Linked DNA regions of Lepisosteus oculatus. The protein of the gene in region 2 interacts with the protein of the main gene of each other region in a biochemical or structural test. Links are inferred from orthologs where the notes say so. Each region holds a gene or a part of one and is shown on either strand. Other genes may lie near its edges.

Evidence for each region.
Region 1: the proteins of npr2 (region 2) and ventricular natriuretic peptide form a complex in vitro, tested with the Homo sapiens proteins (3 studies listed by BioGRID). The link is inferred for Lepisosteus oculatus from reciprocal best matches to the Homo sapiens genes NPR2 and NPPA.

Annotation. Positions count from the first base shown.
Region 1 is NC_090720.1:4,676,826-4,684,445, reverse strand, and holds ventricular natriuretic peptide, read left to right. Parts: upstream 1-4,388; 5' UTR 4,389-4,472; coding exon 4,473-4,586; intron 4,587-4,716; coding exon 4,717-5,020; intron 5,021-5,761; coding exon 5,762-5,790; 3' UTR 5,791-6,425; downstream 6,426-7,620. Other genes in the region: nppal (natriuretic peptide A-like), read left to right, coding at 877-960, 1,423-1,722.
Region 2 is NC_090698.1:29,194,151-29,202,494, reverse strand, and holds the start of npr2 (atrial natriuretic peptide receptor 2), read left to right. Parts: upstream 1-5,063; 5' UTR 5,064-5,351; coding exon 5,352-6,057; intron 6,058-8,344. UniProt on the Homo sapiens protein: Receptor for the C-type natriuretic peptide NPPC/CNP hormone. Has guanylate cyclase activity upon binding of its ligand. May play a role in the regulation of skeletal growth.

The DNA.
Region 1 (7,620 bases), on a different chromosome or scaffold from region 2:
TTGCTAAAGCCAGGTGATCAGTTGTTGTACCTTTAGCCTCCTAAATGCTGATTGCACAACTTTTGAGTCAACAGCTAACCTACATTCATGTCCAGCTGTAACTAACAGGACATTTTATTTGATTTTCAACAGGTTATTTATTGTTTTCAAATCAAAGTATCATGATGGAAACAAAGTCAGAACTTCAGAATCAAGAAACTAAATAATGTACATTAAATATTTGCCTTTGTTTGTATTTTACAATTATATTAGTCACAATATGAGCAGCATTGTGCATTATATATTCCAAATCAATAACTGTTAATTAGTATTAGTATTAAATTAATACTGAACGTGATCTATTGTTATTCACGGAAAAAATGTTCAAAAAAGAAACAAAAACGTTTAGACAGCATTGAAGAATTTAAACATAATCGATATTTTTTGTTGATTAATAGAGATAACTTTATATACGTTATCTATTATATTGCCTTGAAATGGGTTGGCGTCAAGTATCTTTCACTTTTGTTGGTATTTTCTTCAAGTAGCGGTAGTTTCTAACTACAGCAATCACCGTAATTAAGGATTACACATCCTTCGTATCACGATTGATTGCTGTTTTCACAGGTTATTAAAATAGAGTAATGGGTATTATCTATCAGCAAGGTAGTAGTCCTTCAGAGATTCTGAAAACGACAAGCCCACTTTTCCTTTTAACTCGGACATTTAATTGGAATCGCACAGGTCTCGGTGACGACATTCACGAGCAATATAAAAGCCGAGGACCGGCATAGGAGAGCGAAGAGAAACTTGCCGAAGCTCACGGTAATAAAACTCCGGTAAATCTGATAAAAGGAAAAAGAAATAAAAGAAAAAAAAACAAACTGAATTTCAAGAATGATGACAAAAGTCAGCATTTACTGCGCTGTACTGGTGCTGCTTCTAAACCAGATTGGAGCTAAACCGGTGTCCCACCTGCAGGTAAGACTTTTAGAGTTTGTGGATTTAAGAGTACTTTGCTGACACTGATTCCAAGCGTATAGACTGTATTGATTCCTTTCAGTTAGATCAAGCTACTATTTAAAACCTTGCTCAAATTAGAAATAAAACATCCTTGTTATAGCATCAACAATGTGAAATAAAGCGTCTTTATTTAATTTCTTTTCCATATGAAAATCTCGTGGTGTTACCTTTAGAATTTAAACACCAACCTACTGTACAGCATTGCAAATGTGTCTGTAGGACCTTACATTCAGAAATTCGTTGTTCTGGATTCGTGTGAAGGTTGAGAAGGAACTTTTCTGTTATTCCCTCTTGTGAAAGGCAATTAATTCCTGTATAATAACGAGCAAGGCCAATGGCTTGGGCATTCGTAAGGCGAGCACCTGCTCTTCTGCGTGTCAGGGCTCCTTAACAGTTTGTGTTGTTGGGGTTTTTTTTCAGACCCTTACGCAGCTCTTGGAAGAGGAACGGAATCCACCTTATCCCGCCTCAGAAGAGGCTGAGGGAGAAGGAGACCTGACAGCAGAAAATGGTGCCTACAACACGGCATCAGAATTGCCGTGGAACCAAAACTCAAGGGATCTCGAGCAGTCTGCGAACGAGGACCTGATGCTGCGCCTCTTCAGCGATATTCTGACATCCTCCAAGAGATCGTGGAGGAGGATGAAGAAAGGGAGCCTGAGGAGCTGCTTCGGAGTCCGGCTGGAAAGGATCGGCTCCACAAGCGGACTGGGGTGCTAACCAGGCCGGTAAGCTAAAAATAACAACAGCTATTTTCAAATGGAATGCCCATTTACTATTTGTTCGTTGATAAATTTTAAATCGGACCGAGTGCAGAAAACGCATATTACAGCGACATACAGTATGTTTTCTACGATGTAGTCTCCATGAGACACAGCGCGCAGGATTTAAGGCGCAAAGCGAAAACGTGAAAGTCTGCTCAAGTGAGAAAGCTACAGCATACCGTATCAAGCCAAGTGTTGATTAGATTAACAAGGTGTCATTTTATTTCAAAACCAGGAGGCTAGGCTGTTGTGTGCAAGAACAATCTTAACTCGTGCGTTCGTTCGTGCGCAAAGTTAGACTTGCAAGCCTGGTTGTGCGTGATGAGAATAGAAGTTCACAGAGCGGCTCAGTGCTGTCCTGCTCTCGCACTCACGGATGGGTATGTTTTCTTTCTTTCCAGGTTTTGCCGAGCCCAAGGAGTAAACTCGGGAAAGTCACCTTACACAATGGACGTTCTTCTACTCATTCCAGAAAGAATGACCTGAAAGTTTACAGCAGTATTTATTATGAAAGTATTTAATAAAGATGTAATGTGTTTGTTTTCAATTGAATTGTTCTAGTTTAGAGATGTATATATTTTAAATGAAGCTATTAGGCTATGAAGTCTATTAATATTGTTTTAACTATTTATTCTTCTTGTACAAAATACCTTGAAATATCTATGGAATTGCATAAAAACAAAATAAATATTTTGCTTAGTAAGTAAATGGTGAATTCTGTTTGTCATTTCGAAACGTGCATTTTCTGCATTTGGCTCAACGAATTGTTTACCTTCTAAAAACGAAGTGAATGTCTTCACCAAGTAAATAGATTCACCGATGAAACTTCAAACTTATGTTTTCCTTAAAGACACTACCAGGGAAATGGCTCCATGCTGTGGAAGGTTTCTGTTATTCATTTTCACAAGGTTCTCTTTTTAAATGAATGAAAAATAACACGGAAAAGATACTAGTACTAATTTCAAGTTTGGAAACCATTGGGGACACTGTGTGACAGCAGTATTTTATTGGTACTTCTGTTATGTCAGTGTGCGTCATATTGGACTGAAATTGAAATCGAAGCTCTTGTGCTACAGTGACATCTTTACACCTTGGAGCGACAGTACCTGCCATGTTCGTAGCATTACAACAGCTATATAGTGGGACGTTTACATCATTTATAGAGCTAAAAACACAACAGCTATTTTCAAACACAATCACTCTCTGAATGGCAGTCCCCTATGTGACTGCTTTCCGTGCCATTTATTTTGTGCAAAAGCGCTTAGTTCTTCAAGAAGGTTGGCGCTTTTTAATAAAGCCTTTGGAGAAATGAACTTTAAAAGTGCTGTTGTCATTTGAGCATATGTATGTTTCAAGACATGATTAATGTCTTATCGCAAATACAGTGAAGAAAACAGTGGTCCATCAACAGTGGTCAAATTGTAAAGCCATACACCTATTACACGACGGGATGAGGAAGTTTGTAAAGGCAAATACACATGTATTTTTAAATCTATTTATTTACATAAAGAGCCCACTTTTCTGATATGGTCTATTCTGTTTGGAATCAACTGATATTTACGCACACACACAGAGTAAAGGTTGACTTGAAGCCTTCAAGTTCAATTGAAGAGAAGGAGTCTGTTACTGATTTTCATCTTACAGTATACCACACTAAAGAAAGAGCACATAGGCCACAACAACGACTCGACAGGAGATGTGTAGCCTACAGCGCCAGCGGTCTCAGAGCATTCAAAACCAGTTACCTGATGACAGAACATCGTGTATTATTCTCCAACATATTCATATCACTTAACACGCACTGGTCCGCTGCAAATCTATTATTTTACAGTAATTAAGAAAGTAATACTACTTTACAGCCATACCTTATACACGATCGACAGTTTCAGTCGGTTTCACTGAATATTAATATTAATAATAATAATAATAATAATAATAATAATAATAATAATAGCTTACACTCATATAGCGCTTTTCTGGACACTCCACTCAAAGCGCTTTACAGGTAATGGGGACTCCCCTCCACCACCACCAATGTGCAGCATCCACCACCAAATGAATAACAAATGCATTTGACGGCTCGTTACATGCAAATAACTTTAAAACGTGTTTCCTGTATCCCAGCGTGACAAGAGGGGCTTATAAAAGAAACACTTCAGTTTCTTTCAAGAAACCACATAACTACAGTACAGTACTATCCAAAACTCTATGTGAAGTCGAGATATTCAGAATACAGCTGTATTACAGTTTCTACTAAAATAGTTTGGAGTTTGGAGGCGCAGTTTGTTCAACGTGTACTCTTGAACCATACATTTTAAAACCATTTCAAGTAGGAATCGTGAAAATGCGTTATCGACGCATAAATAAAAACATTTACAAAAATGGTCAGCTGCGCCTTTTACCTGTGACAACAGAAATTACGCGCGGACCGGATGGTCTTCAATGTGCTCTTTGGAGTAGTTCAGCTCTAAGACTCCACCAAATATTATCTTAAAAGGCAGTCACGCCTTAGCTGAAACTAGAGCACTTATCAAGTTGGACGTGATGGAATGTCAAGTTGATTTCTGTCATAACAAGCGGTTTATCACAGATGCCGACAGCGCGGTCCGGGTATATATTAAAGGCGCACCTTCCGAATAACCACGTTGTAGACGCATTTCATACGCAGCGTTCAAGAAGTCTCACGAATTCCGAATCTGAAAAGGAATGGCAAAGTTAGACGTTTACTGTTCCTTTTTAATTTTGTTGATAATATACAATGCAGCAAGGGCAAGCACTTTGTTCAATAGGTACAGCACCCAAGATCTCGACACTCTGAAGGTAAGAGCTCCATGCCAAAAGTAAACTCGAATCTTAAATGTTTCCTACTTCTCAGCTGTTAGAAACCAGCTGATAATACTGTAGTGGGGAGAACTGTCTTAATTTTTTTTCTTGTACTTTTTCAATACAGGACATAATTGAGCGACTAGAAGAGAAACTGACCCCCAGTGAAGAAAATGAACTCTACCCCGGATCAGAAGAACTAAGTATGGATTCAGGCGAAGACGCTCTTGTTTCTCCGGGGATTCTTCGACAGCAAGAGGAAAATCTGTTGCTGAATCCTAACAGATTAATCCAAGAAAATTCGCCAAGATCCCGACTCCGAGATTTGGCTGGTTTGGCGAGGACCACTAAGTCTTTCGGTGGTTGTTTTGGAAATAGAGTTGACAGAATTGGTTCCTGGAGTGGATTAGGATGCAACAGCTCCAAATTTGGTACATATTCCTTACATTCAGTTTCTCTTAAGAAATCTAGTCACGAAGAGGTGCTGTTTGTACGATCAGACATATCTTAAATCACTAATAGTAACACATTTCAATATTACAATGTGTTGGGTAACGCAAAATGCACAGTCCGACACTCCAGTGCTTTAACAATCTGTGCGTAAAACCGCCCATCTTCACTGAAGGTCTAATACATTTTGTATCCTTTTAATAAGAAGAAAGTACCGTTCTTATTAAAACGTCTCTACTGTATGTACTGAAGTTGCATTGCAATATAATCTGAAGCAACCTGTAAAATATTTGAACACGTGTCTGCAGAATGCTTATGTTACTCAGCTAAAAACATAGAGTTTATATGAATGATTCTGGGTCTTAATTGTAAGCATATTTCGTTAGTTTTTACTGTATAGTTAGAAACACAACATCATTTGTAACAACCACTGCTTGTAAACCTATGGTGTCTTCATAACAAAGTCACCAAAGAAACACAGCATTATCAGTAAATATGGTTCCAACGTATAACTACAACTGACATCTGACAGACTCTTTAACTACACATTTTTAGAGTGGGGGATATTCGGTTTTGTAATTACACATTGTATGAGAATATTCGACAGTACATAGGATTTGTGCTATTATTCTATAGTAATCAATATAAGCAGTAGGTCATTTCACTAGACTGTAATTTTACCTATTCAACTTCCTAAAAAAGCGTATTTTTTCCCCCGCCAGGTACCAAGAAGAGAATATTCGGCAACTGAGCTTCACGCCCTGTACAGACTCGGCACAGAGGATCAACTCGATAGTCACCAGATGTCAAACTCCACTTGGAATTGAAAAAAAGAAAAAAATAATTGAAGAAAACGCCCACAAACATTTTATACAGCTAGACAACCAAGCAGAAGAAGGCCTGTTGGAGATTTTTGTAGCCTCAGAAATCTGTAATTTCGTACTCTATCTCAGAGTGATTTCGAGGCTTAAATTATTTTTTGTTGGTAACGGAATAATTGGGGTACTCAATATAGTCAGGACTCCTTCAAATGGATCTGGGGTCGCGAATCAGAAATCAGGACACAGAAGAAAGCCAACCAGTAGATTGAGTAGCTGCACTTGTAGTTTACAATTAGTGACAGCGAGAAGTAATCTGGCCAAAACCGACAAAAGAAAATTATTTAATAGAAACAAGAGTATTGAAATACAGTTTAAGAAAGAATGTTACACCAAATCAGTTTTCTAAGAGTATCGTAAACACATGGCAATATATTTAGAATAGAGTTTTAACTCACATTCTATAATTTCCTGCTTCTTAATTCTGTTATATGCATATGTTGTTATTTGAATGTTTAGAACAAACGATGTTTTGGAAAATTATTTATAATAAAGAACGTTTAATTTACGTCTTGCTTGCATTGTGTAGTTCGTGACTAGATTAAAAATGCTTTGAGAGTGATCTGTTAGAGTTATTAGACTGGACAGTACCAATAATAAAAATGAGCCTTGGTGACCAGTTTTTGTGAGACACGTTCTGTATTTGATGAAGAACACTAAAAGATTCAGAAATATAATAGGGGACACTACCAAAACCAAAGTAAAGAAGTTATAGAATAGTTATTTTAAATAATGGTCATAGTTAAATAAGAATACAAACTTTGGGTAATTTCTGTTTTGAATTCATTGTTATATCTACCGTTACTTGAGCTCCTTGGTTTAATGCCTAGACATAATCCAAAGGTGAACATACAGTATAGAGTTTATACAGTATATGAACTTTACATAGTCAAAATCGCTATTTTCACAACGTAAATTAGATGAAAAAACTACATACATCTTGAATCAAAAGATTATGATCAAATTCCGTTAGAGTGATGTCATAAAAGGATAAACAAATCACCAAACGTCATGGATATCACATGTAACCGAAACCATTTGAACTTTTCTCTCCAAAGACAGCGTAAAGTTGTCTTAATGGTGCTTTTTGTATTTTATATGGCGTTTTGCACAAAATCCAAATCGCATCTTATGTAGATTAATTTACACAAAGTCTTTGCCCCCCCTTTTGGTTGCTAAGGAAATATAATATTAGCAGTTATATAATATTTCAATTTTAAACTATTCACTACATGGGCTTCAAACTCAATCTTGTGTTTTTTGGTTTTTACCTTCTCAGTTACAGAGTGGGTGTAATCATTTTAATTAAGTGTGTAATTGTAATACTCTGACCAGACTATAAGTGACTTATAGAGTAACTGTATCTCTAATGAAGTTTCCCGTGTATTCAACTGTAAAAGACCTTCAGAGAAATGCTGTGTTACATTTTGGTTAGGGATAGGTTAATTTTTTATTGACTATCCGGTTTGGAACAGTTTGGAACAAAAACCAAAAGACACAAGACTCGGTTTGAGACACCTGGCTCACAGGTTTGAGATCCCTGCTTTAGGGTGTATAGATCGCCTTTTATCACTCTGCTGCAGTGACTACTGAATCCTGTACCCAGTCACTTGAAAATGTACACAGATGCACCCATGTAGAATATAAATAAACAAATAAAAAGATCGCATTGGAAATGCTTAGAACTACTGTATATAAATACA
Region 2 (8,344 bases):
AAATGCAGTGGAGCGAAAAGTACAGCCTCACATATCTAGTTGTTTTTTTCTAAAATGCAGTAGTGCTTTATAATACTTTCTTCAGTAACACTTTTGAAGTCTTGTGTTATCTTCAGGGATTCTTCCAGCAGGATTTCTTTTGTGTATTCTCTGATTCTATGTGGCGCTTCTCTTTCTTTTCCGCCTGATCATTCCATTTACTTGAATCAACAATGCTGAGATCTGTACTCTGCTGAACAGTTTTCTTTTATAAATTTACAAAGATATTTAAATGTCTCCCGAGCTCTTAATACTGCTTTCTGGAAAAACATTTTGAAGCATAATGTAAAATGTAACATATTTTAGAATGCTCTGGAGCTTCCAGGGAGGAAAGGATGATTTCCAAACTGTCATCTATTTTTTCAGTCTTGCCCTTAGACAAGTGCTAGTAAGTTTTGTCTCTCTCTTCGATCCTTTCAACGCTAACCAGTGGAGATTCTATAAATGGAATGAGCATTTTTCTCATCAGAAAACTTTTTATTTTGTTAACCCAGAGCTCTTTCTGGAACCACAGTGCACTAGCTGATATTACATGTAGGGATTAATTCTAGTCCATCACAGGAAACACACACACACAATTTAGAGATGCCAGTTGACTTAGCCAGAATGTCCTTGGAAAGTGGAATGAAACCACCACCTGGTTTCAACATCTGCTGAAAACTTACACTGAACTCCACACAGAAGGTGCCCCAGTCCAGAACTCAACAGATTTTCCAAAAGATGTAAGGCAGCAGTGCTAACTGAAATGCCACTGTCCTAGAGAATGTTTATCATCTGTTTCTGAGGTTATATATGTTTAAGTATATTTTGAGTGGCAATGAAAAACATTCTGTCAGGACTAATGTAGCATTAACTGGGAATTGTGGGGGTGCTTATACTGTAGTGCTAGTGGGTACTGGTGGGTGTTAGTAGCATTAGAGTGAGAACTGTAGGAACTATTTTAGTATTAGTGGGGGTGAATATAGTGTTAGTAGGTAGTGCAGGAACTAATGCAGTGTTAGTGGGTACTGTGTTAGTGAGGGTGAAATGTTACTATGTAATGTGAGGACTAGTGTAGTGTTAGTGGGTTCTGTGGGTGAATATAGTATTAGTGTGTACTGTGAGGTGTGAGGACTAATGTAGTGTTAGTAGGTACTATGGAGTGAATATAGTGTTAGTGTGTACTATGGGGTGAATATAGTATAACTCCTGTATATCGTAGGGGTGAATAGTGTTAGTGGGTACTTTGAGGTGAATATAGCAAAATTACTAGTTGATGTGAATACTAAAGTAGTGGTAGTGGGTACTTTGGGGGTCATTATATTGTTAGTGGGTAGTGTGGAAACTAATCTACAGTAGTATCAGTGGGTCCTGTGGGGCTTGATAAAGTTTTAATCTGTACAAGGTTCAAGAAAATATTAGTGTTTGTGGGACTTCATACATTTTTACTATGATATAGAGGAAGATTTTATGAAGAGTTCACCAAACTCCACAGTCTTGAGTTTAGAAAAAAATCGACATGACAATAGTGATGGTGGTGCAATGTATAATACTTATACTTTAGTAAGAGAAGTATGTTGTTGATCTTTAAAATTCAATTCTAGTAAGAAAGTGTTATTCTACAGTAAAACAGCAGCATTTACCTTTTACAACTTTTACAGAAAGGAAAAGAATACAGAAAGAATATTGGAAAGCAAATCATGAGAGAATGATTGCATTGGGGTCAGTTAGATATGAAATTACTAGCTGATGGATAATTGCTTTCCAAAAATATACGTCTAAAGGTACTGAAGCACATTCACATGCATTCAGTGGCATACATGGCTTAATACTGGATCAAAAAGACTATTGGAAGACATTTCAGGACACATAAAAAGAACCTAGAAAACATCGGGAGATGGAAAGGAAAACAGTATTGTGATGAAGAACAAAAAAGAACAAGATGGCATGTCAAGATAGCGCGCTGCCTATCACCCAGCAACTCACAACTGGCAACCCACAAAAGCTAAACAGGTCAGTACCTGGATGGGAGACCTCCTGGGAAAAACTAGAAGAGATGTTAGTGGAGCCAGTTGGGGGCACTCACCCTGCCATTTATTTGGGTCCCGATGGCCCAGTATAGTGACAGGGACACTATATTGTAAGAAGGCACCATCCTTCAGATGAAACATTAAACCGGGGTCCTGACTCTCTGTAGTCTTTAAAACTCCCAGGGCATTTCTTGAAAAGAGAAGGGGTGTTACCCTGGTGTCCTGGCCAAATTTCCCATTGGCCTTTATCAATTATGATCTCCTAATAATCCCCATCTATGAATTGGCTTCATCGATCTGTTCTCCTCCCCACTGATAGCTGGTGTGGGGAGCATACTGGTGCACTATGGCTGCCTTTGCATCATCCAGGTGGGGCTGCACATTGGTGGTGGAGGGGAGTCCCCATTACCTGTAAAACACCTTGAGTGGAGTGTCCAGAAAAGTGCTATATAAGTGTAAGGCTATTATTATTATTATTTAGCTATACAGATACAGCAGCCAAAGAAAACTAAAAGTAAAGGTGTCTGTTTATACAAATAAACCAAATCTAAATATTTAAAGGTAATAAAAATACATTCAATTACTATTAAATGGTGCATTGGATTCAAGAAAAAAAATAATGATTGCTTGGTATCAAATTAAGGGACCCAGCTCAGTTTTGTAAATCAATAAATCTGAAATATAAAATAAACAACCAGTTGTTGAAACCTAATGGTATTTTCCCAAAGAAATAAGAGGCTATTAAATAGTGTATTGTGTTTAGTCCTCTATATTGCAGTTTTAGAAATGGATTGAAGAGTGAACAGAATAGTTCATGGTGTCAAAGAAATGACATGCACAAACGTAAAACATAACTAAAACTTTACAACTCTTCAGTTTCAAAGGAGGTGAGTATGAGGGTATTTATTCAGCTGTTCATAACCTTAAAGGCTTTGTCAAAGTCATCTTAAAAGACTACTTTAGGCAGACATTAAGCAAAATAAAAAATTAGATACATGGATAGCAAGATTATGAGGATAATTTGGAATAAAAATAAGATACATTTTTTTACAAGAATACATCATGGGTATTTGGACAACAAACCTAGCTACTGTATGTCTGCTGAAGCAGACCTTTAGGAAAACTTAAAAAAATGGCATAATGAAACCCTGAGAGTGATTTTCTTCTGAATTTTCAGATGAGCTAAGCAGGTTTAATGACCTCATCTTCCATCATAACTGTTTTGATCCTGAGGGGGCATCTCAGAGGCACACTGGTTAGCATTGTTGCCTTGCAGTACTGGGAACTTGGGTTCAGTCTGGGACCTGGAGTGCTATCTGTGTGGAGTTTGTATGGTCTCTGTATGGTTACTGGAAAACAATTAGCCCTGGAGCAAGTGAATGCGTGTTCGTGTCTGTCTGCCCTGTGATGGACTGGCATCTTGCCCAGGGTGTATCCTGCCTTGTGACCGTTGGTTGTCAGGACAGAATCTGTTCCTGCAACCCTGAATTGGACAAAGCAGTTAGAAAATGGATGAAAAGATGGAATTTTCTGAGGCAGGAGGACATTATTTTCACCAGTAGAGGGAGTCCTTTCATTAATAAATCTCCAAGTTGTCAGACAAAAGGAAAGAAAATACATCAGATTTGACTAAATCGCCTATTTATAGGGCTGACCTACTTGTAGGTCTTTTGAATCTTTATTTTAGTTAACATCAAACATCTAAAAAAAACTATATATACTTAATCTTTTTTATGTTTTAAAATTATATAATCTCCTTGCTCCATTGAGCGTGGGACTGCAGTTTTTCAAATTAAGTAGAATAATAGATTAGAAATAAAGATCAATTAAATCAATATTCACTAATAATCATGGTTGTTTAATTTTTTTCCCATAGAAACTGTATGAAAAAGACTGATAAGAGAGTTTGAAACAACACTTTTTCCATATATTTGACAAATGTCTCGCAATAGTTTTAGTTACCACATTATTAATAATAAAATACATGATCCTGGGAGGAGAGCTAAGATATTGTGACCTCTAATTATCTGTAGAAGTTAGTACCCCTCTCTATGAGCTAGATATTTTCTTCTTCTAGTAGGTAGCTGTGTCAGCATGTGTAGGCTGCAAGGGTAAAAGATAAAAGTTTATTCCATGCTGAAAGGGAAAAAAAGACACAACATTTCAAACGAATTATTTACAAGTAACACAATAACTACAAAAACCTCATTTAGAAGTGACAAAATACAGTAACATTTGTTTTGTATTCTTTCCCTTTTAAATGGGGGTTTCATGTTTTCCATTCTATTATTTAGTTCCTCTTAAAAGTATACCCCTTGATTATTTGTTACTCTAATATTGTATGTATTAGAGACACTGCAGTCCTTTCCCATATAACACAGATATTTCCATTCTGTTGTGATTTTCCATTATGATCTTACTAGTGATGGTATTCTTCATTTCATAGACATTATTTTGAAATAATATACAGTACATCAGAGAAAAGATGTTGAGGTTGAACAAGTTTAAATTGAGCCAGTTCTAATCTAGGAAGATGTGTGGAAAACAGGACATTGACCCAGATACTTTAGATACACAAAGCCATATACGAGGTCAGGACCCTCCTCAATAAGGAGCCCTAGGCATCCCACTGACATCTGAGGGGACAATTTTAAGTGTAATGGTAGAAAAGTTGTTTTAAAGTGATTGTAACTGTTGTGTACCCAACATCATTTTAATCTTTTTTAATCTTAACCTTTGTGCTCTGTTTTTTTCTGCTGCTCTTAATCAACAAAATTGAACAAAGGAACAACGCTTTATAAAGCACAAATTTAGTTAATTGTGAATCTGTAATATCCAAATCCTAATACTGTATCGCACTGAAAGTCAGTGTTATTTGTTTGACAGGCAGATGGCGCCACCAGCCCGTCTATGATTCACCTACACTGACGTGACGTTTTTTGGGGGCTGAGCTGCAGCTTTTACCGATGTTTTAAGTTGAAGTCATCTGGATGGATGCTATCACATACAAGAGAGGACCCGTGGAAGAGTAGCAAACGAAGTGATTCGGCTCGACATGAGACTGAAGTTAGCAACGGCCTGGAGAAAGAACTACATTAAAGGATTTATTAGGAAATTATAACAACATAATAAACCTGTGGATTATTATGATAATTATTTGGATTGATTTTTCTATATTTTACAGGGTTAAAATAATCATACATGCTTTGGTTGCGATATTTAAATCTCTGTTATCAGGTGTCTTTACTCGGTAAATTACTGTTAAGAAGCTTGAAATAGTTCATCTTCGTTGAATCCTTAGCAATGGGATACAAAATGAAGCTTGGATGTAGTTTTCTTTTAATGTTCATTTTTTCTCTGTTAAGCACTGGTAGAACAGATCTGGGAAAGAATATCACAGTGGCTGTGATGTTGCCTGATAATTATAGCAAGTACGCCTGGGCACTTCCAAGAGTCTTTCCAGCAATTCGTATGGCAAATGAAGAAATTCAGAAGAACGGCGGACTTCTGAGGGGGTACCACCTTAACCTCATGAACACCAGCACTGAAGATGAAGGTGGTGGCTGCTCTGAAACTCTTTCTCAGATAGTTGCTGTGGATATAAAACTCTACAACAACCCCGACGTTTTTTTCGGACCTGGTTGTGTGTACTCCGTCGCTTCGGTTGGGAGGTTTGCCACCCATTGGAAGATCCCCCTGATAACAGCATGGGCACCAGCCTTTGGGTTTGATCAGAAGGATCAGTTCAAAACTGTTGTAAGGACCGGGCCCTCAACCACGAAACTTGGAGAATTCGTTTATAATTTCCATTCATATTTTAACTGGACCTCCCGTGTAGTAATGATCTATCATGACTTGAGAAAGGATGACCGTCCTTATTATTTCCTATCCGAAGGCATTTATAGTATGTTGAAGAACGCAAACGTAACAATTTTTCCTCATCCCTACTCAGAAACACAAATCTATGATTACAAAGAAATTATTACATTCATTAAAGACAACGGAAGAAGTAAGTTTGGAGATATTTGCATGTACCCTATGCCTAAAATGCAGCACATTTTCAGTACAAGTAGATCTTTGAGATGTGACCTATAGTCTTTAATCGAGAGATGGGTAATCTGTTGAATACTAGGTTCACTTGAATTTATGTAATGTTTTCGGCATTGACGGTGCTAAATTTAACACAACTGTTAAATTGTTATTTCAAATCATACAAATAGGTAATTTCGATTCGCAGAATATTATTTAAAGTATAAACTTTGTGCAATATAATTTTGATGTTATGTTTAATTTTCTATACGTAGATTATATATAGAAGTTCCACTAAAACTATATATATGTTAAGAAAAAATTGCATCATAACGATGACTGCTGCAGTTAACAGAAAAGAGAAGAGATGTATTATTTGAGATGCATTTCTTACTCTATAGAAAAAACTATTTTAATGAAATTTCATGCTCTTCATTGTGACCACCTGTCTATGTCCTCTGGATCTTTGATCTTTCGGCCCTCCGGGCGAGTTATTTATGATGCCTTCTTTTGGCAAGAGCCAAGGGGGCTGAGAGACTCCAAACTCGCTGCGTCTGGATACATTTTTTCAAGTCTTCTATTATACAGGTGGGATTTTAGATGAAGCCAAAGCTAATTATTTAACTTGAACAGCGCAGTGGATTAAGTCAACGTTTCAATCACATTTTTAATTTTGATTGAGGATGTTTTACTAGACTTTATAGAATGAAGTATGCTGCACAAACGCATAAAAAGTAAAAGCATACAGCCTCCATGAAAGTACACGTTAATTATCCTACTTTAAACATTGTGGTAGAGAGAGCATTTTTTTGCTTCAGTTGCTGTACAATGTGTGGTAAACAGTTCGGTTTGCTAAACATGCTATCCATTTTTGAACATTAAAGTAATTTCATGATGAGTCAATGGATATTTACAAAAAACGATCACTTAGTGTTTACGAAATCGCACGTAGTATGTAGTGAATGATTAGCACAATACTGTTATTTAAAATGTAAGTCTTACGAATTTCTTTAAGCATTACAGACTGTGTGTAGGAATCAAACAGCCAGGAACGTACATACATACACAGTACTTACTCCCAAAGCACTCAGACTTTGAACATTTTATGGGGTAAAACAACTCGGGATCAGAAGGTTGGTGAGAGCCCTAACAGATTTATGTAATGAATACAGTATCACAGTCTGCGGGGAGTTCCTCGTTTCCCTTTAGTTTGCGTTGTAAGACAAAGGTCACGAAAAACTAATATTTTGCTAAAGCATTAATCTTACACAGCAAAAAGTTAAGTAATATATAACTTCACTCTTCAGAACGCCTCTGTCATATTATAAGTATAGGTTTCAGACTACCTTTAATCAGAAAAGTGGGGAGGTTGTTAAATATCTGAAATTTCACCTTCCCCTTTTCGGTTTTTGTTTTGCCTTTCTGCAGATTGGTGTTATATAATGTTTCAACGGATTTACACTGATCGTTTGTGTGGACATGAATTCTTAAACTACTCCAGTAAATCCTAGTAACCAACAGATAAAAGTCGTGCATTTTTCCTACGTAGTCCCAATGTTCCCAAATTAGGCCTATATGAATTAATTGAAAACACTTTTACATAGTGATGACATAGCACCTTAAATACCAAAGAAGCGGTACAGTGAGAGCCGCAACAATATCGCTGTTTATTTCTGACTTTTAAATGTATACTGTATGTGTTATACAGAGCACTGCACGTGCAATTTCTCACATGATTATGCAGATGTATTGCAAATTATTACCACATACCTGGTCACAGCATAAGTAAAGAAGATGCAATTATGTAATTCATCCTAGCAAAATAAAGTCGTACTCAAGCCGTACATAGTGCTCACTTCGTTTTAAAAGATAAATCATTGATGAAGAAACTGATTTAAACTTGTTTAAAATAAATTACAGCCATTAATGTATATAAAACAATTGGACGATTGAAAGGTTGATGTAACAATTCTAGTAGATGTGCAGATGTCAGTTTGAAGTATACTTTACACCTTTTTCAAATTTCAAGGTATACCTACTGTCTCTGAGAGTACTGCATTTTGAAACTAGCTTAACATGGAATCAAATACATTTGTTGAAAGTATGTGATCTGCTTCATACTTGTTGAAGATAAAGGCTAACAGCATGTACTGTATAATAACTCATTTCAGTTTGGGGGTTCAGACATCAGATATATGATGAATATATTTAATTGCATTAACATGTAAAGCTATTTTGTAAAAGCCCATAATTATATACACTACAAA